4 linked regions of the Anolis sagrei genome follow. The protein of the gene in region 1 interacts with the protein of each later gene in a pairwise test. Links are inferred from orthologs where the notes say so. Each region holds a gene or a part of one and is shown in the gene's direction. Other genes may lie near its edges.

Evidence for each region.
Region 2: the proteins of HOMEZ (region 1) and RPL9 interact in binary tests that used the Homo sapiens proteins (3 or more experiments, as listed by UniProt). The two-hybrid records come from large-scale screens. The link is inferred for Anolis sagrei from reciprocal best matches to the Homo sapiens genes HOMEZ and RPL9.
Region 3: the proteins of HOMEZ (region 1) and MRPL11 interact in binary tests that used the Homo sapiens proteins (3 or more experiments, as listed by UniProt). The two-hybrid records come from large-scale screens. The link is inferred for Anolis sagrei from reciprocal best matches to the Homo sapiens genes HOMEZ and MRPL11.
Region 4: the proteins of HOMEZ (region 1) and LNX1 interact in binary tests that used the Homo sapiens proteins (3 or more experiments, as listed by UniProt). The link is inferred for Anolis sagrei from reciprocal best matches to the Homo sapiens genes HOMEZ and LNX1.

The regions. Positions count from the first base shown.
Region 1 is NC_090026.1:9,112,396-9,120,670, forward strand, and holds the start of HOMEZ (homeobox and leucine zipper protein Homez), read left to right. Parts: upstream 1-4,720; 5' UTR 4,721-4,890; intron 4,891-5,076; exon of another isoform or gene 5,077-5,260; intron 5,261-7,774; exon of another isoform or gene 7,775-8,019; intron 8,020-8,275. Other genes in the region: twisted gastrulation protein homolog 1-B-like, read left to right, coding at 514-729, 817-1,037. UniProt on the Homo sapiens protein: May function as a transcriptional regulator.
Region 2 is NC_090025.1:80,543,496-80,550,994, forward strand, and holds the start of RPL9 (large ribosomal subunit protein uL6), read left to right. Parts: upstream 1-3,940; 5' UTR 3,941-4,015; intron 4,016-5,999; 5' UTR 6,000-6,006; coding exon 6,007-6,052; intron 6,053-6,142; coding exon 6,143-6,258; intron 6,259-7,499. Other genes in the region: LIAS (lipoyl synthase, mitochondrial), read right to left, coding at 1-73, 3,759-3,839.
Region 3 is NC_090032.1:17,365,082-17,373,193, reverse strand, and holds the start of MRPL11 (large ribosomal subunit protein uL11m), read left to right. Parts: upstream 1-4,811; 5' UTR 4,812-4,894; intron 4,895-6,882; 5' UTR 6,883-6,913; coding exon 6,914-7,036; intron 7,037-8,112.
Region 4 is NC_090025.1:74,812,912-74,820,597, forward strand, and holds the start of LNX1 (E3 ubiquitin-protein ligase LNX), read left to right. Parts: upstream 1-4,225; 5' UTR 4,226-4,234; coding exon 4,235-4,644; intron 4,645-7,686.

The DNA.
Region 1 (8,275 bases):
CTTCCTCCTCCCTGTGACTTCCACTCACATATTTATTCATGGCCCTCATCATGTCTCCTCTCAGTCTTCTCTTCTGAAGGCTAAACATGCCCAGCTCTTTAAGCCGCTCCTCATGGGGCTTGTTCTCCAGACCCTTGATTATTTTAGTTGCACTCCTCCAGACACATTCCAGCTTGCCAACATCACCCTTCAATTGCAGTGGCCAGAATTGGACACAGTGTGATTCCAGGTGTGGTCTGACCAAGGCTGAATAGAGGGGTAGCATGATTTCCCTGGATCTAGACATTATACTCCTATTTATGCAGGCCAAAATCCCATTGGTTTTTTTAGAAACCACATGAGATTGTTGGCTGTGTTCACCTTCCTGTCCACGAGGATCCCCAAGATCTTTTTCACATGTACTGCTGTCGAGCCAGGCGTCCCCCATTCTGTATTTTTGCATGGGAAGGGGGCCAGGCTTTGAATTCTAGAGCTTACCAAGGAAGGATTCTGACTTGACTTTTTCCTCCCGAGGGCTCTGCGATGAACGTCCTCTCTCCGCCCCTCGTCCGGCCCAGCGAAGCTCTATGCACAACCTGATGTCTCCCGTGCCCTCTCTTTTCCGGGCACTCACAGCCATCTCTGACAACGAGTCTCCCATGGGCTGGAGCATCTTGACTTTGCCAGTTGAGGAGGAGCTGAGGCAGAACCACGTAGAGACAGACCATCTCTTGCTGGGGCCACACACAGGTAAGTGTACCTGGCCCAGAGGAGAAAGCATTGATGTCGCAATAATGAAGGATACACAGCCATGAACTTTCCTCTTCTCACTTGCAGGCTTGGTTCTCCCAGATGCTGAAGGCCTCAATGCCACCACACCACCTTGCCAGTCCATTTTCTTCAACGAGTGCCTGTCCATGAGCCGATGCCGGACAGCTTGCCAATCAGTGGGAGCCTGGCGCTACCGCTGGTTCCACAATGCCTGCTGCCAGTGTGTAGGGCCTGACTGCCGGGGCTATGGCGGGGCCCAAGCCATTTGTTCCAACTGCCGGGATTAACTCTCAGCTTTTCTCTTTACATGTACATGTACACATGTGTGGGGCCCTCAACCAACTTATTTACCTGCCTACCTCTCTCTCCCACCTTCCCTTTCTTCCTATTCTGAGCGTTGTGAGCAAGACCAGTCCAATACATTTTTCATAACATTATTTTTGATGCTACTTCATAACTATAATTTTGCTGCTGTTATGAATCATCATGTAAACATCTAATAAAGGTAAAGGTTTTCCCCTGACATTAAGTCCAGTCGTGTCCAACTCTGGGGGGTGGTGCTCATCTCCATTTCTAGGCCGAAGAGCCAGCGTTGTTCGTAGACACCTCCAAGGTCATGTGGCCGGCATGACTGCATGGAGCGCCGTTACATCTGATAGGCAGGATGTATTTTCATTCATCGTACCAAATTTGGAGCCATGGAGAAGAAGAACTCAACAGGTTCCTGGACCATCTTAACAGCATCCACCCAAACATCCAATTCAGTATGGAAAAAGAAAATGAAGGAAGACTGCCTTTTCTAGATGTCCTAGTCATCCGCAAACCAGATCAACAATTGGGTCACACTGTCTACAGAAAACCCACACATACAGATAGATACCTACATAAAAACTCCAACCATCACCCAAGTCAAAAAAGAAGCACCATTAAAGCCTTGGCAGACCGTGCAAAAAGAATCTGCGAACCCCACCTCCTCCAAGATGAACTGAACCACCTAAACTGGGCTCTCCAGGCCAATGGAGACTCCACTTCAGACATCAGAAGAGCTGCAAGACCAAGAACAAGCCACGAGAATAAAGATGAAGATCCACCCAGAGGAAAAGTGTTCTTGCCATATATCAAGGGAACCACTGACCGCATAGGGAAGCTGATGAGGAAACACAACATACAAACTATTTACAGACACACCAAGAAAATCCAACAAATGCTACGTTCAGCAAAGTACAAGAGGGATCCTCTCACCTCTGCAGGAGTCTACCGTGTACCATGCAGCTGTGGACAAGTTTACATAGGGACCACCAAACGCAGCATTGCCCAAACACGAATCAAGGAACATGAAAGGCACTGCAGACTACTTCAACCAGAGAAGTCAGCCATAGCAGAGCACCTGATGAACCAGCCTGGACACAGCATATTATTTGAGAATACAGAAATGCTGGACCACACCAACAACCACCATGTCAGACTACACAGAGAAGCCATTGAAATCCACAAGCATGTGGACAATTTCAACAGAAAGGAAGAGACCATGAAAATGAACAAAATCTGGCTACCAGTATTAAAAAACTCTAAAATCACAACAGCAAAACAGCAGAGAGGAAACAACCAGGCACATCTTAACACCTCTCAACAAAAGGTTTTCCCAGGCTCAGGCAGGCCTTCAAATGCTAATGAAGATGGTCAGCTGAAACATTCACACCTACCTCTAGCAGAGAAGAGCTCTTTGCCCCACCCCAGCCATTCCACAGATATATAAACCCATTGTCCTATTTCCAACAGACTTCACTACCTTTGAGGATGCTTGCCATAGATGCAGGCGAAACGTCAGGAGAAATGCCTCTAGAATATGGCCCTATAGCCCGAAAAAACCCACAAGAACCTAAAGTATTGGTTCTCAAACTGCTATCCTTCAGATGTTTGGAACTTCAAGTCCTAATATTTCTGAGCACTGCTCATATTCGCTAAAATCAAAAATATCTCAAGGACCTGATTTCGAAAGCTGCTGGAGGGGAAGGATTGATGAGAGAAAATAGTATTCTTGAAGTACTACATGTCTACCTGAAAATATACAATAGGCAAAGGTTTCTGAGACTAGCTTCTGGCACCTGGTTAACCACAGAATGTGGGCTTCCTAAGGTGTTGGATAACAGCTGTATCTTTAATCTCAGGTAAGCAAGTAGAATGCATGTTTGAAACCTTGATAGGCCACCATATGTAGCAGGAGGGCTGAACTGGTGAGAAATAGATTTTGGGAGCTCTATTCCTCAGGCTGTGGGGTGAAGTCTTTCTGAAGAGGGTGCTCACCAATGCTTCCTCTTCATCCTGGAAAGAAGTGACAAGTGGAGTGCCGCAGGGTTCCGTCCTGGGCCCAGTCCTGTTCAACATCTTTACTTATGACTTAGATGAAGGACTTCAGCCAGCCATCACCGAAACCTGAACTCCTTTTCCCTTGGAAGTCTACAAAGCTCTGCTTGGTAAGGGTCACTCGCGGAAGCCAGAAACAGTTGGTACCAGGTGCAGGGGCTCCATGCCAATAGAGGCAAAGACAGACTGCCCAGGTTAGAAGTTAAGGATTTCCCCATTAGTTACAGTTATGAAGATAGTGCCTGTTCCCTGTGGACAAGATTGAGAGAGAGCCAATAGACTGTTAAGAAAGCCTTAAAGTACCTGTTTGTTTTCATCAATAAAGAACATTGTTGAACCTTTAAACAATCTAAAGACTCTGTTTTAAGGAAATCCAAGGGCCTTTAATCTGAGGCAGCCCTGGAGTCCCATTGGGCACACAGAATTTATGTCCTGTCTACAGTCTTATGCACAGGCCCAGCATGCGACAGCACATTGGACATTACACAAATACATAAACCCTACTTGCCTAGTCAGGAGAAAATGCTTCTGGAACATGACCACACAGCCTGGAAAACTCACAGCAAACCAGTGTAGGGTTGTTTCCCCATTCAAACGCATGCTGCTTTGGAAGCACGAAGACAACACAATTACAAGTCCCTTTTCCCAGCCTTGCTAAACTCTGTTTCTCCAGCCTTACCAAGGAGCTGCGGCTAAACCTGCCAGTGGTTCTCAACCCGGGGTCCCCAGATGTTTTTGGCCTTCAACTCCCAGAAATCCTAACAGCTGGTAAACTGGATGGGACTTCTATGAGTTGTATTTATTTATTTATTTTTTACAGCTTTTATATTCTGCCCTTCTCACCCCGCAGGGGACTCAGGGCGGATTACAGTGTACACATATATGGCAAACATTCAATGCCAATTTTTGACATACAAACATATACAGACATAGACAGAGGCTATTTAACTTTTTCTGGACACCAGGGGAGCTGTCACTTTCATCGTCCATCTGCGACGCTGATGAAGCACTTCCGCATTCCCCGCATGCTTCCCCACTGGAATGCTTTGCTGGAGTCTTTTTTTATGGCCTCATAAATTAGTTAATTTAGCCTCCCCACACAAGGTGGTACCTAATTTTGCTACTTGACAGACGCAACTGTCTTTCGGGTTGCAAAAGTCGACAACAGGCTACACAATTGGTTGGAAACCCACTCCAACCCGGGCTGGCTTCGAACTCATGACTTTTTGGTCAAAGTGATCTTAATGCAGTTGACACTCAGCCAGCTGCGCCACAATCCCGGTGTAGGCCAAAAACATCTGGGGACCCCAAATTGAGAACCACTGAGGATGAGAAAGAGAAGTAGAAGGCCAAGAAGACCTGAACAGGCTTTATTAACTGAGGTATCAAAGACAAAATCCCAGTTGCCTTTCACCTGGTCAGGAGCAGCTTTCCGCCCTAAATGTTCCAGAACGGTTGAAGCAACAATGAAGGGAAAGCATGCCTCTGAGCACGTGCAGAGTGAAGTCTGGCAAGCCAGCCCTCTGCATGGCAAGGAGGGGGTGGGGAGGTTGGGGTTGAAGGTAAAGGGGTGTGGTTTGAGCTCGGGCTCCCCTTTGTTGTGTTGCTTTGTTATTCCAAAACATAGTTGGTTCACCTAAGCAGCTGGATTTTGCCTTTCTTCCTGCCTTTCAAGAGCGGAGTGGACCACCGCCCCGCCTCTTGCAGCCCCTGCCAGGCCCCTGGATGGCTCTGCCGCCCTGCCCGTCCTCTGTGATGCTCGCCGGTCCCTCCCGGGTGGGTGAGCCCCCTTTCCCCTCCATGGCCCCGGCCTCTCCCCCTCATGAGGCCCTTGAAGCCCCCTTCGCCTCTCCTTCCTTTCTGGCCTCCCTCTCCCCCTTTTTGCTGCCATTCTCTCCTCTTTTCCTCCCTGTTCCTTTTGTCTGCCCTTCCTTCCTTCTTTCCTTCCTTCCTTTTGTCTGCTTCTTCTCTTTCTGTCATTGTCTCCTTCTGTCATTCCAAGTTCCCACTTTTCTTTCCTCTCCTGCCTTGCTCCCCACATCCTTTCTTCTTCCCTCCGCTCTCTTCTTTCTTTGCCTTTTGATCTCTCCATAGTGACAGCATGCTCTTCTTTCCCATCTTTCTTTCCGAGTTGGGGGAAGAGAAGGTAAGTGGCTCCAAAGAATAGCCATTTGCTTCCTCTTCCCAAACCTGTCCTGTCTTTGCTGGGGGTCCTTCCACACAGCCCTATTCAGCTGGGTGGAAGGCCCCCCAGAATATCAAGGCAGGAAATCCCACATTATCTGAGTGCGGACTCTGGGGGCCCTTCCACCCAGCTGAATGAAATCCCACATTTTATGCTTTGAACTGAAATATATGGCAGTGTGGACTCAAATAACCCAGTTCAAAGCAGATATTGTGGGATTTCCTGCCTTGATATTCTGGGTTATATGACTTTGTGGAAGGGCCCTGAGATATAGGGCTTGAGGAAGGGCCCTGTGACAATATAACAGGAAGAAAAGGATGCTCTGATGGTGATCCTTAATGTGTTTTCCTGTTCCTTTTCATCTTTTGCTAAAAGGGAGGATCTGAGAAATTGGGGCAATTCCTTGGAAGCATGGGGGACAGCAGGCAGGTTGGATGGCATGGGAGGAAGTGTGGGATTTTGTATTGTCAGAGGCGTTTGTGGCCGGAATCTCTGGGTTGTGGTGAGTTTCCCGGGCAGTATGGTCATGTTCCAGAAGCATTTTCTCCTGACATTTCATCTGCATCTATGGCAGGCATCCTCAGAGGTTGTGAGATCCCTTGCCTTTTTCAAACAGACAAGAGTTCTTTCTCCCACCCTGGACATTCCACAGATATATAAACCCCACTTGCCTAGCTTCCAACAGACCTCACAATTTCTGAGGATGCCTGCCATAGATGGGGGAGAAACTTCAGGAGAGAATACTTCTGGAACATCTATGGCAAGCATCCTCAGAGGTAGTGAGGTCTGTTGGAAAGTAGGAAAATGGAGTTTATATATCTGTGGAATGTCCAGGGTGGGAGAAAGAACTCTTCTTTGTTTGAAGAAGACAAGACACCTCACAACCTCAGAGGATGCCTGCCATAGATGGGGGAGAAACTTCAGGAGAGAATGCTTCTGGAACCTCTATGCCAGCCATCCTCAGAGGCAGTGAATTCTTCACAGCACAAGGTGTCACCCCAAAGGAGATTCATCAGAGAATGCAAGCTGTTTATGTTGATTGTGTTGATGTGAGTACTGTGTGTCGTTGGGCAAGTAAGTTTAAAGATGTTGAGGTGGGAACAATCTGATTTGTGCAACAAACAAAAGCTGGACGTCCTCTGACAGCAACCACCGAGTTTCACAAGCAAAAGGTTGACAGATTGATTTAGGATGATCATCATATCACTCAGAGAGTTCTGGCCCAACTTATCTGTCCAAATGCATCTCCCTTTATGAACCTTCCAGGGCTTTAAGATCGTCTGGGGAGCCCCTGCTCTCGATCCCACCCTCATCACAAGCACGACTGGCGGGGATGAGAGACAGGACCTTCTCAGTGTTGGCCCCTTGTCTATGGAACGCCCTCCCTAGGGATATTAGATCAGCTCCCTCCATTTTAACATTCTGGAGGAAAGTCATAACTTGGCTTTTGGAGCAAGCGTTTGCAAGTACAGTGTGACTGCCATAGGAGTAGAGTAACTGCTTTGGGAGTCTGTGATCAGGCATTCGGACAACGTGGCTGGTCCAGCAAAGTAGATGGCGGAGGAGCATCGCTTCAAGGCTGGTGGTCTTTGCTTCTTCCAGCACACTGACATTTGTCCGCCTGTCTTCCCAAGAGATTTGCAGGATTTTCCTGAGGCAGCGCTGATGGAATCGTTCCAGCAGTTGCATGTGACATCTGCAGAGAGTCCACGTCTCGCAGGAGTATAGCAGGGTGGGGAGGACAATAGCTTTATAAACAAGCACCTTGGTATCCCTATGGATGTCCCGGTCCTCAAACACTGCTTCATTCAGAAAAATGCTGCACTTGCAGAGCTCAGGGCAGTGTTGTATTTCAGTGTCAATGTTGACTTTTATGGAGAGGTGGTTGCCAAAGTAGCAGAAATGGTCAACATTTTCTAATGTTAAACTATTAAGCTGTACTTCTGGCATTGAAGAGGGATTGGCTGGTGACTGCTCGAAGAGCATTTGGTTTTCTCGATGTTTAATGATAGGCTGAGCTTCTCATATGCTTCTGCGAAGGTGTTTAGAGTGGCTTGTAGGTCTTCTTCTGAATGCGCACAGATGACGTTGTCATCAGCATATTGGAGTTCTATAATAGATGTTGTAACCTTGGTTTTGTCTTTGAGTCTGCTGAGGTTAAATAGCTTGCCTTCTGTCCGCAGATCATTTCCACTCTGGTGGGAAGCTTCCCATCAACTAGATGAAGTGTCATAGCGATGAAGATGGAAAATAAGGTTGGGGCAATAACACATCCCTGTTTGTATCCAATTATCTGGCAATTATGTGGAAAAGTGAATAGTGGTAGTTAAAGAGCACATTCTAAGGATTATTTCTGCGTTTGGTTTCCTAAAATATTCCCATCCAAACCCAAGTAAAGAAGGTGGAGGCATTACTTTTCATTCAACCCTCGCATTTATGGATTTTAGGGTTAGCTCATCCAGGACATTCAGCAGAGAGTTCTAGGCAGTCGAATGGAAGAACCTTTTTTCTGGTCGGGAGGGGGCGATAGGGAAGGAGAGCAGAGAAGGAGACATAGATGGAGGAGGACCAATTCAGGGTCTGGAGCCTCTTAAAGGGACCGTTTCCCAGGATGACGGGACTCCGCCTTTTCCCTTCGTTTCCCAGCGTGCACTGCAGGGAGCAGGGGAGAGAGAAAGAAGGAAGAAAAGTCCTGAAGTGGGAGGAGGAGGAGGAGAAAAGTGAGTCTGGGCAAGAAAATCCAGGTTTGGGAGGTGGCCTGCGGAATTGCAACGCAGGGAGGGATAGGAAATGTTTGGTGTGGGGTTGGGAGGGAGGGAGGGCGGTGGTACTCAGGAAACTGTAAGGCTTGGAAGGAGAGGAAGGGCCTTCCTTGGAGGTTGGGTTTGTTGTCGTCCGAGAGATCTGTTAACACAACCCACCCACCCATCACGTGTCCTGCTAAATATCTGTTGTTGTGATCTATTAAGTCTGTGC
Region 2 (7,499 bases), on another chromosome or scaffold:
GTAAAGATGCCTTCTGTTCTTCTGGCAATGAGCTTGATAGTCTAGATTGGTTATGTATATTGCTTCCAAGCACCTAGAAAAACGTAGCGGCATTATTCCAAATAGTAAACATAAAATCAGCTATATCCATAGACATATATTGAGTAGGAGGAGAAATCGTACAACCCTTCAGCTATTGCTGGACTACAACCCCCATCATTCCTCATTGGTTATTTTGGCTGGGGCTAATGGGAGCGGCACCCCAATAGTTTCTGGAGGACCACATACTCCTCCTCCTCCCAAAAAAGCTATAATCATGGCAAGTAATCTTATAGTCCAAATGATGAAGGACAGGATTTTCAATTATTCCCACTTTCCAGGAAGATTCTTATCTAATTGTAATACAGGTCCGTTGTCAAGTTCTCTCCAGTTTCTAGAGCTGCCTAGTAATATGAAAAGCTGCTTAAGGAAGTGGGAAAGTTAACAAACCAATGCATGTAGTTTCCAATACAGCTGTTTGAACTGGTGATAAGTATTTCTCAAAACCTCTGGATGTTAATAATTAAGAACCTATGGTTAATGACTTCTGTCACTGATGTGATCCTGACTGTGATGCCATCATAGCTAATTTTGGGTTATTGTAGGTTTTTAGGGCTATATGGCCATGTTCTAGAAGCATTCTCTCCTGACGTTTTGCCTGCATCTATGGCAGGCATCCTCGGAGGTTGTGAGGTCTGAACTTAGTGATTCCAGCTCTGGAAGTCTTGGACATCGCTGATTTTATTTTATTACGAGAATATACACTCATCGGTGCAAAATTTACATTTATAAAATAACAATTTGGTCCACTCAATGGTGCCTCTAAATGTGTTAATCTCCCTTCTAATGGATATAGGCTTGGATCTTTTAACACAGCCCTTTAATGGAGCCTAAAATATATATTTTACTACTTCCAGTCCAAAAACAACATGATGGCTACGTGCTCTAAATTTATCTATAATGCAGCAGCGAGCACTACAATGCAGTCCGGACGTATCTCCCCTATGAACCGTCTAGGATCTTAAGGGGAGGCTCTGCTCTGCAGTCACATTTAGTGGGGACAAGAGACAAGGCCTTCTCCGTGGTGGCCCCTTGGCTGTGTAACTGCTTCCTCAATGAGGTTAGATCTTTCCCCTCCCTCCTGACCTTCCAGAAGAAGCTTAAATCCTAGTTATGAGATCAGGTGTTCACAGAATAGTTTGTTTACTGGGAAAGACAAGTTTTTTTGGACCGGACTACTTTGGATGACGATTTTAATTCTGGTGATTCTAATCTGGCAAGTGGGTTTTAAATGCATATTTAGAATTATTTTAATTTTGTGGATGTATTTATTATGTGTTTTATATTATGTTTGGCATCAAATTGTGGCCTGTTTGGAAGCTGTTCTAAGTCCCTCTGCAGAGGTCAAGAAGGATGAGGTATCAATATTTTAAATAAATAATATAATATAATTGAGATTATCAAAGCAGATAATCCACATTATCTGCTTTGGACTGAATTTTATTTATTTATTTATTTATTTATTTATTTATGGCATTTGCATGTTACCTTTCTCACCCTGATGGGGACTCAGTATGGCTTATAAGATATATACATACAATATATTATATTACTAGCATAATACAATATCAGTATTATATATTACCCTATTGTAGTATACCATTATACTGTAATATTATTAGTATTACATGTAATATAAGATATATAATAATATCATACTGTTAGTAGTATTATGTTGTATTACATTATAATATTACAACTATTATATGTATATACATAATATTATATTAGCATAGTACAGGAGACAAGGTGGAACTGTCCCCTGGCCCCCCCTCTCTTCACTCTGGCCCAGAGCGGCAGTTGGTGCTGGGGGGAGGGGTCCACAACTGATGACATAAACTTGTTCCATAAAAAGTCTACATTATATGATCCATTATATAACTGGATTACATTGCCATGTAATCCAGTTCAAAGAACATAATCTGGATTTTATATGGCAGTGTAGAAGGGACCTTCAAGTTTGACTTTGGACCATTGACTTCTGGCTGGATCTTTACTTGTGAAATATGTGCTTACAGGAGAAACTCAGGTTCAATCTAACTGGCCTTATAATGCAGTTTTAGAATGCAGATGAACTATATTGATCTGGGTTATATAAATCAGTGTAGAGGCTCTCCTGATGAATCTGTATAATGACCAAGTAGCAACAGTAAGAACTGACCATGGAACAACAGAATAGTTCAAGACTGGGAAAGGCATACGGCAGGGTTTTACACTCTCACCCAACCTATTCAACTTGTATGCAGAACCCATCATGTGATGTGTGGGGCTTGATGAATGCAAGACTGGGGTGAAAATTGCTGGAAGAAACATTAACAACCTTAGATATGCAGATGATACCACTTTGATGGCTGAAAGCGAGGAGGAGCTGAGGAGCCTTCTAATCAAGGTGAAAGAAGAAAGCGCAAAAGCTGGGTTGCAGTTAAACATCAAAAAAACCAAGCTTATGGCAACAAGACTGATTGACAACTGTCAAATAGAGGGAGAAAATGTGGAGGCAGTAACAGACTTTGTATTTCTAGGTGCAAAGATTACTGCAGACGCAGACTGCAGTCAGGAAATCAGAAGAGCAATGACCAATCTCGATAAAGTAGTGAAGAGTAGAGACATCACACTGGCAACAAAGATCCGCATAGTTAAAGCAATGGTATTTCCCGTAGTAACCTACGGATGTGAAAGCTGGACCATAAGGAACACTGAGCAAAGGAAGATAGATGCTTTGGAACTGTGGTGCTGGAAGAAAGTTCTGAGAGTGCTTTGAACTGCGAGAAGATCCAACCAGTCCATACTTCAGGAAATAAGGCCCGACTGCTCATTGGAGGGAAGGATAGTAGAGGCAAAGATAAAGTATTTTGGCCACATCATGAGAAGAAAGGGGAAAATGGAAGGAAAAAGGAAGAGGGGCAGACCAAGGGCAAGATGGATGAATGGCATCCTTGAAGTGACTGGCTTGATCTTGAAGGAGCTGGGGGTGGTGACAGCTGATAGGGAGCTCAGGTGTGAGCTGGTCCATGAGGTCACTCGCTGGAATACCTCAGCAAGCAAGAGTCCAAAAGTGGCAGGCTCAAACCCAGAACCTCAATCAATGGCTGATACCAAATGAGAGACTCCCTCCTGGGCACACAGAAAACTGGGTGACTTGGAAGGCGCTGAACAGACTGCGATCTGGCACCACGAGATGCAGAGCCAACCTTCAGAAATGGGGCTACAAAGTGGAATCCACGACATGCGAGTGTGGAGAAGAGCAAACCACTGACCACCTGCTGCAATGCAACCTGAGCCTTGCCACATGCACAATGGAGGACCTTCTTGCAGCAACACCAGAAGCAGCAACACCAGAAGTGGCCAGATACTGGACAAAGGACATTTAATCAACTACTTTGTGTTTTGTTTGTTTGTTTAAAATGCAATGCAACTGTTTGGTCTGCTCCTGACACGATAAATAAATAAATTTGCAGTGTAGATGGGGCCTCCGTTTTCAAAAGAAAACATTCCCCTTCCAAACTCTCTCAGCCACAGAGGAAGGGCAAAACCAAACTTTCTGAGCACCTGCTAATGAGACCCTGTCGTGACGTCAGGATAGGCCGCAAACAAAACAGGGTCACCTGTGTGAGGTGACATGACAACACAATATCCCACATTCGACTTGAAGCGGCCCTGGCGCCCTCCCGGAGACTCACCGGCCTCTCCAGCCCCGCCAGCCTCTTCAACTTCGACAAAGAGCCAGCCCCGCTGGAGAGGCCTCGCTGGAGCAACGCCATACCGGCCTCTCTCCGTCCCTCAGAGCTCTGCAATCGCCTGCTCGTCCTGCGTGGCGATTGATTGGTCGAGTCCACCATCCCTGACGTAATAGCGTCACCAGGAGAACGTCGCGTGGCCATATAAAAGCGTGATGACGCAGCACGCTCTTCCTTTCCGCCTTTCTGTGAAGTGAAAGGTAAGGGACGCGTCTCTTTTCGGGAGTCGGAGGGCCGGTTAAATCCGGTTCCATCTCAAGAGCGGAGGCACTTGAGTGGTGTAGACGCCCCGCGACAACCAAAGGCAAATGTCACTGAATGTGTCGGGAACAGCTCTGGTCTTTAATTCGGCTGGGCTCCGGAGGAAAGAGGGCCAGAAACAAGGCCTCTTTTCGTTGAGGGGAGACAGGCGCGTCTACGCATGCGTGGACTGTTTTGCCCACTTAAGAGCCCAAACAGTTCCCCAATATTGCTTAGCAGGATGTTGTTGGGCCTGGGGAAAAATGGAAGCTGGAAATTAGTCGCATATAATGTTAGTGAAGCTTAAAGGTTGTGATTTCACCAATCTGTACAATATAACGCCCTATCTGTGCCATGATGGTTGGAATGTGTCTAGATCTAAGGAAGTCATGCTACCCCTCTATCCTGCCTTGGTTAGACCACAACTGGAATATTGTGTCCAATTCTGGGCACCACATTTGAAGAGAGACAAGCTGGAATGTGTCCAGAGGAGGGTGACTAAAATGATCAAGGGTCTAGATAACAAGCCCTATGAGGAGCGGCTTAAAGAGCTGGGCATGTTTAGCCTGAAGAAGAGAAGGCTGAGAGGAGATATGATAGCCATGTATAAATATGTGAGAGGAAGTCACAGGGGGGAGGGGCATGCTTGTTCTCTGCTTCCCTGGAGACTAGGACGCGGAACAATGGCTTCAAACTACAAGGAGATTCCATCTGAACATTAGGAAGAACTTCCTGACTGTGAGAGCCGTTCAGCAGTGGAACTCTCTGCCCCGGAGTGTGGTGTAGGCTCCTTCCTTGGAAGTTTTTAAACAGAGGCAGGATGGCCATCTGTCAGGGCTGCTTTGAATGCAATATTCCTGCTTCTTGGCAGGGGGTTGGGCTGGATGGCCCGTGAGGTCTCTTCCAACTCTGATTCTATGAATGGTTTTCAGAATTTATTTATCGTGTCAGGAGCGAACCAAAACAGTTGTATTGCATTAAAAGCAAATAAAACACAGTTTGCAGGCTTGGTATTCTATTAAATGTCCTTTGACCAATATCTGGCCACTTGGAGTGCCTCTGGTGTTGCTGCAAGAAGGTCCTCCATTGTACATGTGGCAGGGCTCAGGTTGCATTGCAGTAGGTGGTCATTCGTTTGCTCTTCTCCACACTCGCATGTTGTGGATTCCACTTTGTGGCCGCATTTCCTAAGGTTGGCTCTGCATCTTGTGGTGCCAGAGTGCAGTCTGTTCAGCACCTCTGATTTGGTATCAACTATTGATTGAGGTTCTGGGTTTCAGCCTGCCACTTTTGGACTCTCGCTTGCTGAGGTGTTCCAGCGAGTGTCTCTGTAGATCTTAGAAAATTATTTCTTGATTTAAGTCATTGGCATGCTGGCTGATACCCAAACAAGGGATGAGCTGGAGATGTCACTGCCTTGGTCCTTTCACTATTGTTTGCTACTCCTCGGCGGATGTCAGGTGGTGCAATACCAGCTAAACTGTAATTTCTCCAGTGGTGTAGGGCACAGACAATAATGCGGCATGTCTCATTAAGAGCCACATCCACTGTTTAAGCGTGGTGAGATGTGTTCCACATCGGGCATACATACTCAGCAGCAGAGTAACAAAGTGCAAGGGCAGATGTCTTCACTGTATCTGGTTGTGATCCCCAAGTTGTGCCATTCAGAATAGATAGCACCTATTTTGCTCATTGCAGAGGCCTGCCTTTGAAACTGAATGGAGATGATCATAACTCAAACCAATATACGTACAAATGTTTACTGATTGATGTCAGTGAAGAAAATGTGGGCCAAGATAGTTTTAGCAATATTGTACTTAAAACATATGAATTTGAGCAAAAAAAAAATCTGCTTGATTTTATCATAGCTTCCTACCTGAAAACTATAAAACACCATGTGGTTTTATTATACATGTGGCTCTTTGTTGTGTCTCTTTTGTTTAGGTTCAAAATGAAGACTATTCTCAGCAACCAGACTGTTGACATCCCTGAGAAAGGTATGTACATTTCTTTGAGCTTTTTTAATTTATAAAACTGTTTATATTTCATGAGTTCCTCAGTGTCATACAGTGTTTTACTTCTCGCAGTTGACATTGCCCTGAAGGGGCGAACAGTCATTGTCAAGGGCCCCAGAGGAACCCTCCGACGGGACTTCAATCATATCAACGTGGAGCTCTCTCTTTTGGGGAAGAAACGTAGGAAGGTGAGCATTTGATAGATTTTACGTTAATACATACATGTCTCTCATAAATTGTTCGATGGATGTATATATCCTGTCATTGGTAAATGTCTTTCTTGCCAAAAGGGGGGGGCACGCGATTGTGGCTTTTCTGTTTTTGCTGGAAAGACGTGCATTGATTTTAAAGTGTTCAGATTTCATTTTAGTTTTGCTTATTAAGTGAGGCTATTTTGGGTTTGATGGATGCTTGTGCAATAGGGTCGAATGATGCAGCAGTTTGGAGTGTAAAATCAAAACTTAAAAGAAGGTGATTAATTTTGCTCTTTCTGGTTTTCCTCCTCTTCTGTTTTTTTTTTTCCCTTACTGCAAATACGAATCTGGAGCACCTGTCTGGAAGGAGCTGTAGGGAAGAAATGTATCTATTTCTTTGTGTAATTTAGAAATACAAGGACCAGTTTCTTGTGTGACAAACTGTCAAGACAGTTTGTATTGAGTGTAACAGAAATACACTTCCTGTTAGCCAGTTGCTGTAATTCAAAACCTTAATTGTTCTGATGCAGACTTGTATCACCAAGTGTCAAAATGTCATGTATGTAGGTTGTCATTACATTTTATTTTTAACTGTACTTAACAGGCTGCAGCTCTCATGTATAAGTTATATCTGAATGTCAGAACTTATTTATTTATTTACAGCTTTTATATTCCGCCCTTCTCACCCCGCAGGGGACTCAGGGCGGATTACAGTGTACACATATATGGCAAACATTCAATGCCAATTTTAACATACAACATATACAGACATACACAGAGGCTATTTAACTTTTTCTGGTCACCAGGGGAGCTGTTGCTTTCATCGTCCATCTGGAATGCTGATGAAGCACTTCCGCATTCCCCACATGCTTCCCCGCTGGAATGCTTTGCTGGAGTCTTCTTTATGGCCTCATAAATCAGTTAATTTAGCCTCCCCACACTTTTTAAGGTGGTACCTTATTTTCTTACTTGACAGATGCAACTGTCTTTCGGGTTGCAAAGGTCGACAACAATTGGTTGGAAACCCACTCCAACCCGGCTGGCTTCGAACTCATGACCTTTTGGTCAGAGTGATCTTAATGCAGCTGACACTTAGCCAGCTGCGCCACAATCCCGATGCTAACTAACTGAAGTTTACACCAATTCTGGGTAGTATCTGGATATCTGTGTGTAGGAAATGATGTAATACAAAAATAATGCTTGATTTTTCTGTAATATTGGTGTTTCCTTCTAAT
Region 3 (8,112 bases), on another chromosome or scaffold:
GTTTATTGAAGAGAAAGCAAAATCAAAAACATAGAAATAAGGTTGCAAAAGCCAAAATAGAGTCTTAAATGCAAAGACAGAGTTTCCAAGGTCCAAAGGCAAATAACATCAAGTATAATCCACAAGTATTGGTCAAACAAGAATCCATGGCAGCATGACAAAGTCCCCAGAAACCAAGATCAAAACCAAAGTCACAAAGAACCAAAAGCCGAGACAATTCCAAAGAAGTTAACAGGGTGTAAGCAAAGTTGCACTGACAAAGGGTTGACTGCAATCAGATCGTCAAATAAGCTTTCCTAGCATGAAAGCATTACGTTGACCATTTGTTAGCAAGCCGAGAACTTCGGCGTACTCTTAATTGCAAACAGTCCTCCCTAACTAAATCCCCATCACCTTCAAGGCCGAATAACTCATTATCCTGGGACTGGCCAGCCTGGGAATCCACAGGCACTCAAATCATGACCATCATCTAAAACAGTGGTTCTCAACCTTTCTAATGCCGTGACCCCTTAATACAGTGCCTTATGTTGTGGTGACCCCCAACCATAACATTATTTTCATTGCTACTTCACAACTATAATTTTGCTCCTGTTATGAATCATCTTGTAAATATCCAATATGCAGGATGTATTTTCATTCATTTGGCACAAATACTTGATACGCCCAAATTTGAATACTGGTGGGGTTGAGGGGAGGATTGACTTTGTCATTTGGGAGTTGTAGTTGCTGGGATTTATAGTTCACCTACAATCAAAGAGCATTCTGAACCCCACCAACGATGGAATTGGACCAAATTTAGCACACAGGGCTCCCATGACCAACACAAAATACTGGAAGGGTTTGGTGTTGGAGTTTTAGTTCACCTACAACCAGAGATCACTGTGGACTCAAACAATGATGGATCTGGACCAAACTCTACACGAATACTCAATATGCCCAGATGTGAACACTGGTGGAGTTTGGGGGAAATAGAATCTTGACATTTGGGAGTTGTAGTTGCTGGGATTTATAGTTCACCTACAATCACAGCATTCTGAACCCCACCAACAATAGAATTGGGCCAAACTTCCCACACCGAACCCCCATGTGCAATGTGGCAGGGGATGTAAGGCTGTAATGTTCGTTTGTGGGATTAACAGAACTCAAAAACCACTGGACGAATTGACACCAATTTTGGACACAATAAACCTATCAGGCCAACGAGTGACCATCACTCAGAAAAACACAGACAAAACTTAAAAATCCAAAAAATAAAAAGTACATTACAACGCATGCACAAAACCACATATATACACAAATATATACACACAAAACACATACACAGACTGGGCCACAGCAATGCATGGCAGGGGGTGGCTAGTCTGTAATAACTGAAGGTACATGAGGAAATTGGTGTTGTTATGGCAGTTTCTGCTAGTAGTTTCTAGCAGTTAACCAGTACATTCCAGGTGGACGTAGCCAGCTTTATTGCTACTACACACACAAGACAGAAAATAACTACTAATTTCCCCATGTACCTTCAGTTCCTTTTATAGTGCGTATAGCAGGGTTGGGAGGACAATAGCTTGGTCTGCCTACAGATGTCCCGATCCTCAAACACTCTGCTTCATTCGGAAAAATGCTGCACTTGCAGAGCTCAGGCGGTGTTGTATTTCAGTGTCAATGTTGACTTTTCTGGAGAGGTGGCTGCCAAGGAAGTGGAAATGGTGCACATTTTCAAATGTTACGCCGTTAAGCTGTATTTCTGGCATTGGAGAGGGATTGCCTGGCGACTGCTGGAAGAGCACTTTGGTTTTCTCAATGTTCAATGACAGGCCAAGCTTCTCGTATGCTTCTGCAAAGGTATTTAGAGTGGCTTGTTGGTCTTCTGAATGTGCACATACGACATTGTCATCAGCATATTGAAATTCTATAACATGTTATTTGTAACCTTGGTTTTGGCTTTCAGTCTGCTGAGGTAAATTGCTTGCCATCTGTTCGATAGATGATTTCCACTCCAGTGGGAAGCTTCCCATCAACAAGATGAAGTATCATAGCAATGAAGATGGAGAATAATGTTGGGGCAATAACATCCCTGTTTGACACCTGATTCCACCTTGGCTGGTGACTGCTGGAAGAGCACTTTGGTTTTCTCGATGTGCAATGACAGATCTGGACCATTGAACTGGATTCACTTACGCCCAGAGACGCTGTGACCACCATCAATGACAGATCTGGACCAAACTTGGTACACAAAACCCCTCATGACCCAAGCTGGTTCATCAGGTGCTCTGCTATGGCTGACTTCTCTGGTTGAAGTAGTCTGCAGTGCCTTTCATGTTCCTTGATGCGTGTTTGGGCAATGCTGTGTTTGGTGGTCCCTATGTAGACTTGTCCACAGCTGCATGGAACACGGTAGACTCCTGCAGAGGTGAGAGGATCCCTCTTGTCCTTTGCTGCCTGGACACAGCATATTATTTGAGAACACCATGTCAGACTGCACAGAGAAGCCATTGAAGTCCACAAACGTGGACAATTTCAACAGAAAGGAGGACACCATGAAAATGAACAAAATCTGGCTACCAGTATTAAAAAACTCTAAAATTACAACAGCAAAACAGCAGAGAGGAAACAACCAGGCACATCTTAACACAGTTAAGAGATGCATTGGGTTGTTATTGCTGTGTCAATATTGTGTATTATGTTTTTGTGGTTTTAAATTGTATATTGTTGATTGTTGTACCTTTGTTGTAAACCGCGTTGAGTTGCCGTGAGGCTGAGAAACTGCGGTATACAAGTAAAGTAAATAAATAAATAAATATTGTGCGCCAGCTGCGCCCGTACCTTGGGAAGTCTGACTTGGCCACGGTAGTCCACGCTCTGGTTACATCCCGTTTAGACTACTGCAACGCTCTCTACGTGGGGTTGCCTTTGAAGACAGCTCGGAAGCTCCAACTAGTCCAACGCTCGGCAGCCATGATTTTAACAGGAGCGGAGCGCAGGGAGCATACAACCCCCCTGTTGCGCCAACTCCACTGGCTACCGATCTGCTACCGGGCTGAATTCAAAGTGCTGGCGTTGGCCTTTAAAGCCCTAAACGGTTCCGGCCCAAGCTACCTATCCGACCGCATCTCTGCCTATGAACCCACCAGGACTTTGAGATCTTCCGGGGAGACCCTGCTCTCGATCCCGCCTGCTTCTCAAGCTCGGCTGGCGGGGACAAGAGATAGGGCCTTCTCGGTGGTGGCTCCTCGGCTGTGGAACGCCCTTCCTACGGACATTAGACTAGCACCATCTCTAATGGTATTCCGCAAAAAGGTGAAGACCTGGATGTTTGAGCAGGCGTTTGAGTAATTTAGTGCAATCTGGTAATGGAACATAGGAATGGAACAATGGACGACGAACCTGGACTACGCTTGGATGATGAGAAGATTGGGTATGGTTGTTTTTTGTAATAATTGTGCATTGTAATTGCTTATTGGTAGTTTATGGACAATGTGTTAAGTCAATTGTTATATGTTGTATGGAACCACGGCTGTTTCTACTGTTTTTACTGTTTGTGAACCACTGTGAGTCGCCTTCGGGCTTGAGATACAGCGGTATATAAGCTAAATAAATAAACACCTCTCAACAGAACATTTCCCCAGGCTCAGCCAAGCCTTCAACTGCTAATGAAGGTGGTCGGCTGAAACATTCACACCTAGCTCCAGCAGAGAAGAGCTCTTTGCCCCACCCCAGCCATTCCACAGATATATAAACCCATTGTCCTAACTACCTCTGAGGTAGTTAGGACAATGTTAGGTAGTGTCCTCACTACCTCTGAGGATGCTTGCCATAGATCATAGAATCATAGAATCAAAGAGTCGGAAGAGACCTCATGGGCCATCCAGTCCAACCCCATTCTGCCAAGAAGCAGGAATGTTGCATTCAAATCACCCCTGGCAAATGGCCATCCAGCCTCTGCTTAAAAGCTTCCAAAGAAGGAGCCTCCACCACACTCCGGGGCAGAGAGTTCCACTGCTGAACGGCTCTCACAGTCAGGAAGTTCTTCCTAATGTTCAGGTGGAATCTCCTCTCTTGTAGTTTGAAGCCATTGTTCCATTGCGTCCCAGTCTCCAAGGAAGCAGAAAACAAGCTTGCTCCCTCCTCCTCCCTGTGGCTTCCTCTCACATATTTATACATGGCTATCATATCTCCTCTCAGCCTTCTCTTCTTCAGGCTAAACATGCCCAGTTCCCTAAGCCGCTCCTCATAGGGCTTGTTCTCCAGACCCTTGATCTGCTCCCTCCTCCCTGTGGCTTCCTCTCACATATTTATACATGGCTATCATATCTCCTCTCAGCCTTCTCTTCTTCAGGCTAAACATGCCCAGCTCTTTAAGCCGCTCCTCATAGGGCTTGTTCTCCAGACCCTTGATCATTTTAGTCGCCCTCCTCTGCACACATTCCAGCTTGTCAATATCAAGATGCAGGCGAAACCTCAGGAGAAATGCCTCTAGAGCAGTGGTTCTCAACCTGGGGTCCCCAGATGTTTTTGGCCTACAACTCCCAGAATTCCCAGCCAGTTTACCAGCTGTTAGGATTTCTGGGAGTTGAAGGCCAAAAACATCTGGGGACCCCAGGTTGAGAACCACTGCTCTAGAACATGGCCCTATAGCCCGAAAAAAACCTACAAGAACCTAGTGATTCCAGCCATGAAAGCCTTCGAAAATACATTGAACATCCCAATGGGGGTGAGTGGAAGGGCCTGCATTGCTCTCTCTTCCCTTTCTCTGAGTTCCCTGGTCGCTATGGCAACGGGCGCCATTTTGACTTCCTAGCGCGGCTCAAAAGCTTCCCGGCGTCCTTTGCGCCTTTGACCCCCGCTTCCGTAACCCAAGATGGCGGCATTCAGGAAGAAGGAGTAAATGCTTTCAGTGAGTAGAAAGTTAAAGCAACTTACTGGGGTTGAGGGAGGAAGAAGGGCCAGGGATAGGTCATCACAAGGAAATCAGGGGGATTATTATTATTATTATTATTATTATTATTATTATTATTATGTAATAATGTATCTATATCTATAGAAATAAAAGTGTAATGTTTGTGGGATTAAGAGAACTCAAAAACCACTGGATGAATTGACACCAAATTTGGACACAAGGCACCTCACAACCCAATGTATGTTCTTCACTCCAAAAAATGATTTTTGTCATTTTGGGAGTTGTAGTTGCTGGGATTTATAGTTCACCTACAATCAAAGTTCATTCTGAACTCCACCAACGATGGAATTGGGCCAAACTTGGCACACAGAACTCTCATGACCAACAGAAAATACTGGAAGGGTTTGGTGGGCATTGGCCTTGAGTTTGGGAGTTGAAGTTCACCTACATCCAGAGATCGCTCTGGACTCAAACAGTGAAGGATCTCGACCCAAACTTGGCATGAATATTCCATATGCCCAAATATGTACAGAGATGGGATTTGGGGGAAATAGATCTTGACATCTGGGAGGTGTAGTTACTGGGATTTATAGTTCACCTACAATCAAAGAGCATTCTGGACTACACCAATATGGAATTTATCCAAACTTGGCACACAGAACTCTGATGACCAACAGAAAATACTGGAAGGGTTTGGTGGGCATTGGCCTTGAGTTTGGGAGTTGTAGTTCACCTACGCCCAGAGATCACTGTGGACTCAAACAATGATGGATCTGGACCACATTTGGCATGAATACTCAATATGCCCAATTATGAATACTGCTGGAGTTTGGGGAAAATAGATCTTGACATTTGGGAGTTGTAGTTACTGGGATTTATAGTTCACCTACAATCAAAGAACATTCTGGACTCCACCAACAATGGAATTGAGCCAAACTTGGCTCACAGAACTCCCATGACCAACAGAAAATACTGGAAGGGTTTGGTGGGCATTGACCTTGAGTTTGGGAGTCTTAGTTCACCTACACCCAGACAGCACTGTGGACTCAAATCAAACTTGGCATGAACATTCCATATGCCCAAATATTTATTTATTTACTTATTTCCAGGCTTTAATGGTGCTTCTTTTTTGACTTGGGTAATGGTTGGAGTTTTTATGTAGATATCTATCTGTGTGTGTGGGTTTTCTGTAACCGGTGTGACCCAATTGTTGGAGGAAACAGACAAGGACATCTAATCACCTCTCGACAAAAGATTGCCCCAGGCACTGTCGGTCCATTATATGCTATCAAGGCGGTCAGTTGAAACATTCACACCGAGCTCCAGCAGACAAGAGTCCTTTGTCTCACCCTTGTCATTCCACAGATATATAAACCCTTTTTCCTAGTTCCAACAGACCTCACTACCTCTGAGGATGCTTGCCACAGATGCAGGCGAAACGTCAGGAGAGAATGCCTCTAGACCATGGCCATATAGCCCGAAAAAACCTACAACAACCCAGAGATTTCGGCCATGAAAGCCTTCGACAATACATTCAACATTTTCTTATGACTTTATTTTCCAGGTCACCAGACTGGGCCACAGCAACATATGTCAGGGCACTGCTAATAATAATAATAATAATAATAATAATAATAATAATAATGTTGTTGTTGTTCATTCGTTCAGTCATCTCCGACTCTTCGTGACCTCATGGACCAGCCCACGCCAGAGCTCCCTGTCAGCCGTCACCACCCCCAGCTCCTTCAAGGTCATAATAATACCCTTAATATAATAATAATAATAATAATAATAATAATAATAATAATCAACACTTCCCTTTTGTCTTTCTTTCCTCCTCATTCCGTGTCTTGTTTCTTTGTTTCCTCCTTTTCCTTTTGTTTATTTACCTCCTTTCTCCTAAACTGGGACGCTATCTCTTCCCAAGATTGCAACTTTCTAGGATCCAGTCTTCCCAAAGTCTTTTACTCTTCTTTCCAATCCAGGTACTGTATCCCTGCAGACTGAATCGAAGCCATGTCGAAGATCTCTCGTGCAGCCAAAACCGTACAAAAGGTGGACCCTGGAAATGTCATCCGGGCCATCATCCGAGCGGGACAGGCCGTTCCGGGACCGCCTTTGGGACCTGTCCTTGGCCAGGTATGTGTGGAAGACAGCAAATATGCAAACGCATAATCATCATCATTATTATTATTATTATTATCATCAAACTGTTATGGAGCCCCTGTGCTGGCAGGACTAAAGACAAACAGGTCGCAGGTTCGAATCCGGAGAGAGCATGGATGAGCTCCCTCTATCAGCTCCAGCTCCTCATGTGGGGACATCAGAGAAGCGTCCCACAAGGATGGTAACACATCAAAAACATCTGGGCAACAACCTTGCAGACGGCCAATTCTCTCACTCCGGAAGCGATGTGCAGTTTCTCAAGTCGCTCCTGACATAACAAAAAAAAAAATCAAACTGCTTGGCGCAGTGGGTTAAACTTGTTGACCGAAAGGTCACAGTTTTGAATTTGAGCAGCTGTGTGAGCTCCTGTTGTTAGTCCCAGCTTCTGCCAACCTAGCAGTTTGAAAACATGCAAATGTGCCTAGAGCAATAGGTACTGCTTTGGTGGTAAAGTAACAGTGCTCCATGTAGTCATGCCGGCCACATGACCTTGGAGATGTCTATGGACAGTATGTGGAAAAATGAATAGTGGCAGTTAAACAGCACTGTGTCATTGTTTTATTGTTTGCTTTATGTTTTATTATTTGCTTATGAGTTTTACTGTGTATTGTATGTTGTTGTTGTTGGCGGCCTTGGCCTTTGTAAGCCGCATCGAGTCCTTCGGGAGATTTTGCGGGTTATAAATAAAGTTAATAATAATAATAATAATAGCATATTCTGAGGATTATTTCTGCATTGGATTTATTAAAATATTCCCATCCAAACCCAAGTAATGAAAGTGGAGGCATTATTTTTCATTCAACCCTCGTACTTTCTAGTTTCACGTAAAGCTGATTGTGGCAGTTGAATCATAAAAAAGAAAGACACCCTTGACATGTTCAGAGGCACTCTCTTTATTGCTTCACATATTCTGGGGCTGTAACCTTCTCGCTGATTCAAATACAAGTCCAACCTAATCTCAGTTGATTGGATTAGTCAAATTGTTGAGTTTCTCGTGTGATATTTGTTGAGAAACAGGCTTTTTTGGGGCAGTTTTGGAAACAGAAAAA
Region 4 (7,686 bases), on another chromosome or scaffold:
TTCTTGCCAGGGGGTTGGACTGGATGGCCCATGAGGTCTCTTTCAACTCTTTGATTCTATGATTCTAGGATATAAATTTATTTATTTATTACTTTGAACACTTTTACCCTGCCCTTCTCAACCCTTGGGGGGACTCAGGGTGGCTTCCAATTGGCAACAATTCGATGCCGCATAATAAAATACAAAACACCAATAATTACAACAGTTAAAAGCATAAAAACATTAAAACAATATACTTATAGTTTACCGAACTATTAACAGTCTGGTGGCCATTATCTAGCCGTATGCTGTGATTGAGTATTCCATTAAACTTATCCATAATCCATTTCCAAGCCATTGTCAAAATTGTCATTTGTCATTTCCGCCTAATTACCCGAAGGCCTGATCCCACATCCACTTTTTTACCTTCTTTCTAAAGTTGAGGAGGGATGCCGATGACCTAATTTCCCTGGGGAGTGAATTCCACAGGCGGAATTACCTTTGGGACAGTGCAATAAGGCAACAATAGGAAATTTTACCCTACTGACCGGATCCGGTATGGCTGATCTGAGATGGTTTAAAACAATTGATTTTAAAGTGAAGATAATTGATTTGAGTGTTTATGTATATTTATAGTTTATTTTAAGTTCCACCACTGAATATTTGCCATATATATGTTGTGCTCTGACCTGAGTCCTCTTTGGGGTGAGAGGGACGAAATTTAAATGTTTTAAATAAATAAATAATTTCAAGAAGGCTCATTCCACTTTGACTGCCATGGTTCCATCACATGGGACCTCATCGCATGAGTCTTTTGCTCCATCCTACAATGCTTCTAGGATGGAGCCCAATGGAACCCATCACATGACGCAGGGCTATATCCAGTGGGTTTCATCCTAGCAGTATCATTGGATGAAGCCCTGAGAACATGGGTGGCTACTTATGTTCTCTTTACCTAAGCTGGGGACAACACAGGGAAGCCGGGCAGCAATGGTTTTCCCCATGTGATAGGGAAGCAAGCAATGCAGGGCAATTAATGTCAATTTCCCTCACTGCCCAACAAATTTGCCCCATTGACCGACAGATTCCCCTGCTGTCCCCCTGCTTAAGTACTTCCATGTAATGGGATCCTAGGACTGGAAATGTATGAAGGGTCATCTAGAATTCTCAGCCAGAATTCCCCAGTGCCTCATTAAAATACAAAACCTAGGATTGCAAGGGATGGCACCATGGCAGTTGAAGTGGTATACAAGTGCTATAATTGTATAGTGTGAATGGGTTCTAGGCCTTAAAAATCATTCTTATTTCATGTCAACATTGGAACTTATCACATGAGGCTGGCCAACCACAATTGTAGCAGGATAATAATGTCTATTGTCAATAGTTGCTGCCTCTTTTGACCTTGTCACACGGCCGTTGAACATGCCCCACATCTCTGTGTTTCACGGGGGGGGGGGGGGGAGGGATGGAGAAGGGGTGGAGAAGTGGCCACCCCATACCCTTCATTGCCCGGCAGTTGATCCCATGGGAGAAGCGTGGTGTGTGCAGCTTCTCTCCATTAAAGTCTCCCATGTTGCCACGGCAGTGAAATGCACCAGCTCTGCCCTTCTTCACCCATAGAGCCAGCACAGTGTTGTCTGATGCGAGCCGGTGGGCTCCATGGGTACCTGGACTAAATTGGTGCATACCACTGAATTTAGCCCCCTGTGAAGAGGTCATTTGCTTCCCTCATTACTCCTTTTAATAGGACTCCTTTTCATAGATAGTAACAGTTAATGGCTATTCATTCCATTGCCATACCATTCTTTATTTCAGTATGATAGGTTCCTTCTGCTTCTGTTCCAATTTGATGGCAGCCATATGGCATCAGTGAGTATGATTCTTCATCTCTACCCCGTCTCGTTGCTATTACAAAACAGACCTTTCCTTTGGAAAAAACCTTTATTTTCTCTTCTTTTAATTTTTTCTTCAAATTGCCATAATTGCAAAATTGGATAAAAACAAAAAAACCAACCTTTTGTAGAATTCATTTCAAATCAGTCTTGTACGATAAAACATGAAACCAGTTTGGTGCAACACCTAAATGGAGACCATGCTTTCGTTCCAATTTAGCTATAAAGCTTGCTGCATAACTTCTTTTCATTCTAATTTACCTTGCAGGATTGTTGTGAGTATTAAATGAGTGCTAACAATAACAATAATATACTAATCTTACGTATTTTGGCAGTATGATCTTTTGAAGCTAAAGAAAGAGAGTTTTCACAGCATAGTATATTGACAGTTCTACAATACCAGTTCTACTGGTAGCCAACCAGAGTATAGAATCATAGAATCATAGAGTTGGAGGAGACCTCATAGGCCATTCAGTCCAACCCGCTGCCAAAAAGCAGGAAAATTGCATTCAAAGCACCCCCGACTGATGACCATCCAGTCTCTGTTTAAAAGCTTCCAAAGAAGGAGCCTCCACTACATTCTGGGGCAGAGAGTTCCACTGCTGAACGGCTCTCACAGTCAGGAAGTTCTTCCTCATGTTCAGATGGAATCTCCTTTCTTGTAGTTTGAAGCCATTGTTCCATGTCCTAATCTCCAGGGCAGCAGAAAACAAGTTTGCTCCCTCCTTCCTATGACTTCCTCTCACATATTTATGCATGGCTATGTGTCCACTCAGCCTTCTCCTCTTCAGGCTAAACATGCCCAGCTCTTTAAATCGTTCCTCATAGGGCTTGTTCTCCAGACCCTTGATCATTTTAATCTGTTCTTTCATATAGTTCAGCTTCTCTCGTTAACCTTTGAATTGGACAAATGGGTCAGAAGTGAAAGTAGGTCTTTATCCTACTTTATCCATGAGTAGGTCTTTATTTTCAATTTTGTTGATAAATTTGTAATTTTGGGGATGTGGGTTATTTATGGGCGGGTAGCAGTTGAGGATAAGGGCCCCCCGGTGGCGCAGTGGGTTAAAGCACTGAGCTGCTGAGCTTGTTGACCAAAAGGTCGCAAGTTCGATTCCAGGGAGCAACGTGAGCTTCCACTGTCAGCCCTAGCTTCTGCCAACCTAGCAGTTCGAAAACATGCAAATGTGAGTAGATCAATAGGTACCGCTTCGGCGGGAAGGTAACGGTGCTTCATGCAGTCATGCCAGCCACATGACCTTGGAGGTGTCTATGGACAACGCCGGCTCTTCGGCTTAGAAATGGAGATGAGCACCACACCCCAGAATCAGACATGGCTGGACTTAATGTCAGGGGAAAACCTTTACCTTTACCCTTAGCAGTTGAGGAGAGAAAGTCAATGTCATGTGGTGTTTTGAGTGTTGAACTATGAGCCTGGAGATCATATTGAAATCCCTGCTCAGATATGAAAACCTACTAGGTTATTTATTTATCGTGTCAGAAACAAGCCAAACAGTTGTATTGCATTTTTTAACAAAAAAACACAAACAAACAAAACACAAAGTTTGTAAGCTTGGTAGTTGATTATATGCCCTTTGACCAGTAGCTGGCCACTTGGAGTGCCTCTGGTGTTGCTGCAAGAAGGTCTTCCATGGTGCATGTAGCAGGACTCAGGTTACATCGCAGCAGATGGTCTGTAGTTTGCTCTTCTCCACACTCGCATGTTGTGAATTCCACTTTGTAGCCCTACTAGGTGACCTTGTGCAAATCACACTCTCCCAGCCTCAGAGGAAAACAAAGGTAATCCCCTCTCCCAAACAGACCTTGATGGAAAAACCCAATGATATTGTTTTAAGGGTCACTATATGTTGGAAATAACTTGAAAACATGCATCGACTAGCCTCTGAGCATCTTCATTTCTCTACATAATCGGTAGCACACTATATAATCTGCTGAGAGACAAGTTCTTGGTGCCTTCAAAAAGAAACAACATTTGTATGTGGTTGCACCTGGATTTGGAAAACAATTGACCAGAGAGAATTTGGTTAGCATTAGGAGAGATAGGTTAAATTGTTCATTCTTTTTATCTTCTGTTGCTGATCCATTTAATTGATATTGTAATTTGTGTCTGTATATCTTGAGTTCTTGTTCAATTTCCAAAGTGTCATGGACTATTGACTCGCATACGAAAGTTTAATTGAGCATTGTATGTCATAATCAATCTTCATAATGCAGTTGCTTCGAAACAATTTCATTTGATTTGTCATCATGCTTCCCTACAGATCTGAAGAACTACTGAGACAACAGATAATATTTTGGACTGAAACTGAAATTTGAATTGAAATCTTTTCCTTGACCTTTGTGTCATGCAACACTCTCCAGTTATGAATCAAAAGGATCCATTAGGAGAAGCAGAAGAAAGCGCTGTTTCCTTATGTGTGGTCTGTGGCCAGCCACATCAACCAGAAGAGAACCACATGTATACCTACACTGAAGATGTGGACGATGATCTCATTTGCCACATTTGTTTGCAACCTTTGCTTGAACCACTGGACACACCTTGCGGGCATACCTTCTGCACAGTTTGCCTTACAGATTTCTTAGTGGAACAAGACTTCTGCCCTATGGACCGTAAAACTCTGATACTACAGACTTGCAGAAAATCCAGCTTACTAGTGAATAAACTCTTGGATAAACTCTTGGTTAGCTGTCCTTTCACAGATTTCTGCTCAGAGATTGTGCAACGCTCAAACCTTGAACAACATTTCCAAAATGGGTAAGTCGTTTTATATATCACTTCCACAAAAGTTGAGAATTTGTTCAGTGCTGGTAAAAGATCCTCTACTTTTTCAGCGAATGATGCTTTCAAGTATTTTCATTTTTCTGCTGTAGTGTAAATAAGTTGTCTGTTGTATTTCATGCATTCTCAGTAGATGGTGGACCTAGCGTCTCTGTTTCTCACTCACAGTCCTTGGTCATTGGAGATGGTGTTGCAGGCTTCTGACAATTGAAGTCCAAAACATCTGGAACAGCAAAGGCATTATAGCCGTGATCTAGATCAACTTACCACTAGACCCCTTCCAAACAGCTGAATAAAATCCCACCTATGGAAACCGCCCTGAGTCCCCCTGTGGAGATAGAGCGATATATAAATAAAGTTATTATTGTTATTATTATTATTATTATTATTATTAATATCTGCTTTGAACTGGAATATACAGCAGTGTGGACTCAGATAACCCAGCGCGAAGCAGATATTGTGGGATTTTCTGCCCTGATATTCTGAGTTATATGGCTGTGTGGAAGGGTGCATTGGGTTCCCTCATAACTGGAAATACTGACTAGTGTTGGTGGCAATTTGAGCCCAAGAAGAGCTGGAAAGTTATACATTTTCCCCTACTACTCAAAATTATGCTATGGAACACCCTTACAAACAGCTGAATAAAAAACAGCTGTGAAATTGTGTTTGCTTACTTCCACATTGAGCATCCCATATCCTAAACACTCGGAACCAGAAGTGTGCTGAATTTCTGCCCCCCACCCCCCCCCCTCAGATTTTGCAATGCTTGCATATACATAATGAAATATATTGGAGGTGAGACACAACTCATAGAGTTTGGAAATGTTTTCATATACTATATTTTAATAATGTTGTGCATGTGACAAAGTTAGTGTACATTGCAGCACCAGGAGGTGAGACTTCCACTATTTCAGCCACCCACATGGATAATTTTGGATTTTGAAATGTTTTGAATTTGGGAATTCTATAAGGGATACCCAACCTGTATCTAGTTGATTGAACAGATCTCAGGCTAAGTTTATGAAGCACTTTGAAGGGATTTCTAATGGCTCAAGTGCTAATTTTGCTGTGCTAATTTGTTGCCTAGGGCTTAATACGCTCATACTTAAGAAACATTGCTTAAGTTCATGTAACATAGTGGAACTGGTTTGACAGCTACAACAATTTTCTGCCTCTTACCCAATTTCAATAAGCCCCAAATCCTTTTAATGTTTAGAGTTTAGAGAGCAGACCCCAGACAACCTACAGACTGGTCTCCATGCTCTTCACCTTTTCTTTTCTTACCCAAGGTTTTTCATCCAACCACTTTGCGAGCCACTTGTAAATTTTAACAGTTCTTTCTTTGCAATGTGGCAGTCAAGAGGTTGTTTGAATAACTCTGTTTTCACCCTAGGATATGGGACTTGTTAGGTGACACTTTCCTATAACCCAGTTGTGCTGATCACAGCTAATATTCTGTTCTTTCCTGCTATAACATGCCATTTTAGGAGTTGGGAAGAGAGTTCTTTCTTGTATATTATTCTACTGTTTTTATTTTAACTTCTAATCTACTTTGGAGTGTTTGGACATCAGGAAATAAATAAAATAAAGCAATCATATTCAGTAGCAACCACTTAAAGTAGACTTTCTGTTTGACTTTTGGATTTGGTACTATAGCCTAAAATTGCTTTAGACAATTTTAATTTCAGAGATGGGCATGCTGTTTCAACACTTTTCTCCATGCGGTCTTGCCATTTGAAAAATCCAATCATTGGGAACATCAGAAAAGTTTTGATAATTTAGGCAGAACTATATGTTCCAACACTGATCTGGCTCAGACCAACTTTAACAGCCTAGTAAATTATCAACATCCATTTATTGGCATCTGCATTGATCACACAGCAAACATTCTGCATGGCTGGCTTTTTTTGACAAGTATTCATGGAACTAATGTACAAAAATAATGCAAAAATTATGAAAAATGTGTTTCTCAAGTGCTGAGAAAATCTGATAGTAGAATTTTGAAAAATTCACAGAACAGGATCTATTTTTAAGCCTTCTAAGCAAGAAGAAAATTGCTAAAATTTCTCAAAAAGACTATTAGCAAAAAAATTCCTTCAAGAAGACTATTGGTTAAGTATTACATTCATAGTGTCGGGTAGCTGAGACCAGATCCAGACAGGCCTTTATCCCAGGAGAATCCACTTTAAAAACACGGACCTGTCCACACCCATCCCAGAGAACATCTGGAGGGAGGCCCTACCCCCCTCCCCTGAAGCCTCCAGACCCCTTAGAAAAGTAATAAAAACTTACCCAGACTCCATTACAAGCTCCGGTGGACTCTCCCGTCGCGTAGAAATGATGTGCCAGGAGAGCTGGAGGGGAGCAATTTTCCTCCCTTCCTCGTCCTGCTCGACGAGCCTGCCGAGGCTTGTAATGGAGGCCAGGTAAGTTTTATTACTTTTCTAAGGGATCTGGGGGCTTCAGGGGAGGGGATGGGTATTCCCACAGTTATTGGCCTTATTTAGCCCGGTAAACTGTGGGAATACGGTCTGAGCTGCAGTATTCTGCAGTCCAGATGCCGGAAATAGTGGATTTATCCCACACCTTCCAAGAAGGCATCAAATAAATCAACTATCAAATTAATTTGCTACAAGCTGGGATTTTTCTGGTTTATAGCGAATTAATTTGGGACTGTCCAGAACATTGTCTGGACAGCTCCTCCTTTATTGTGGAAGTTATCACAATAAAGGTCCGGTCTGGACGGGCCCTGGGTCATGTACCCAGGAGAAATCAACAAAAATTTTCACCTAACTTCCCATATATTGTCGAAGGCTTTCATGGCTGGAATCACTAAGTTCTTGTGGGTTTTTTCGGGCTATATGGCCATGTTCTGGAGGCATTTCTCCTCTAGAACATGGACATATAGCCCGAAAAAACACCCACAAGAACTTAACTTCCCATACTTCCAGCTGATTGTTGATTTTAGAATTTAGGCTTTTGCAGGGAATAGGAATGAAAAATAAATCATGGCATCTG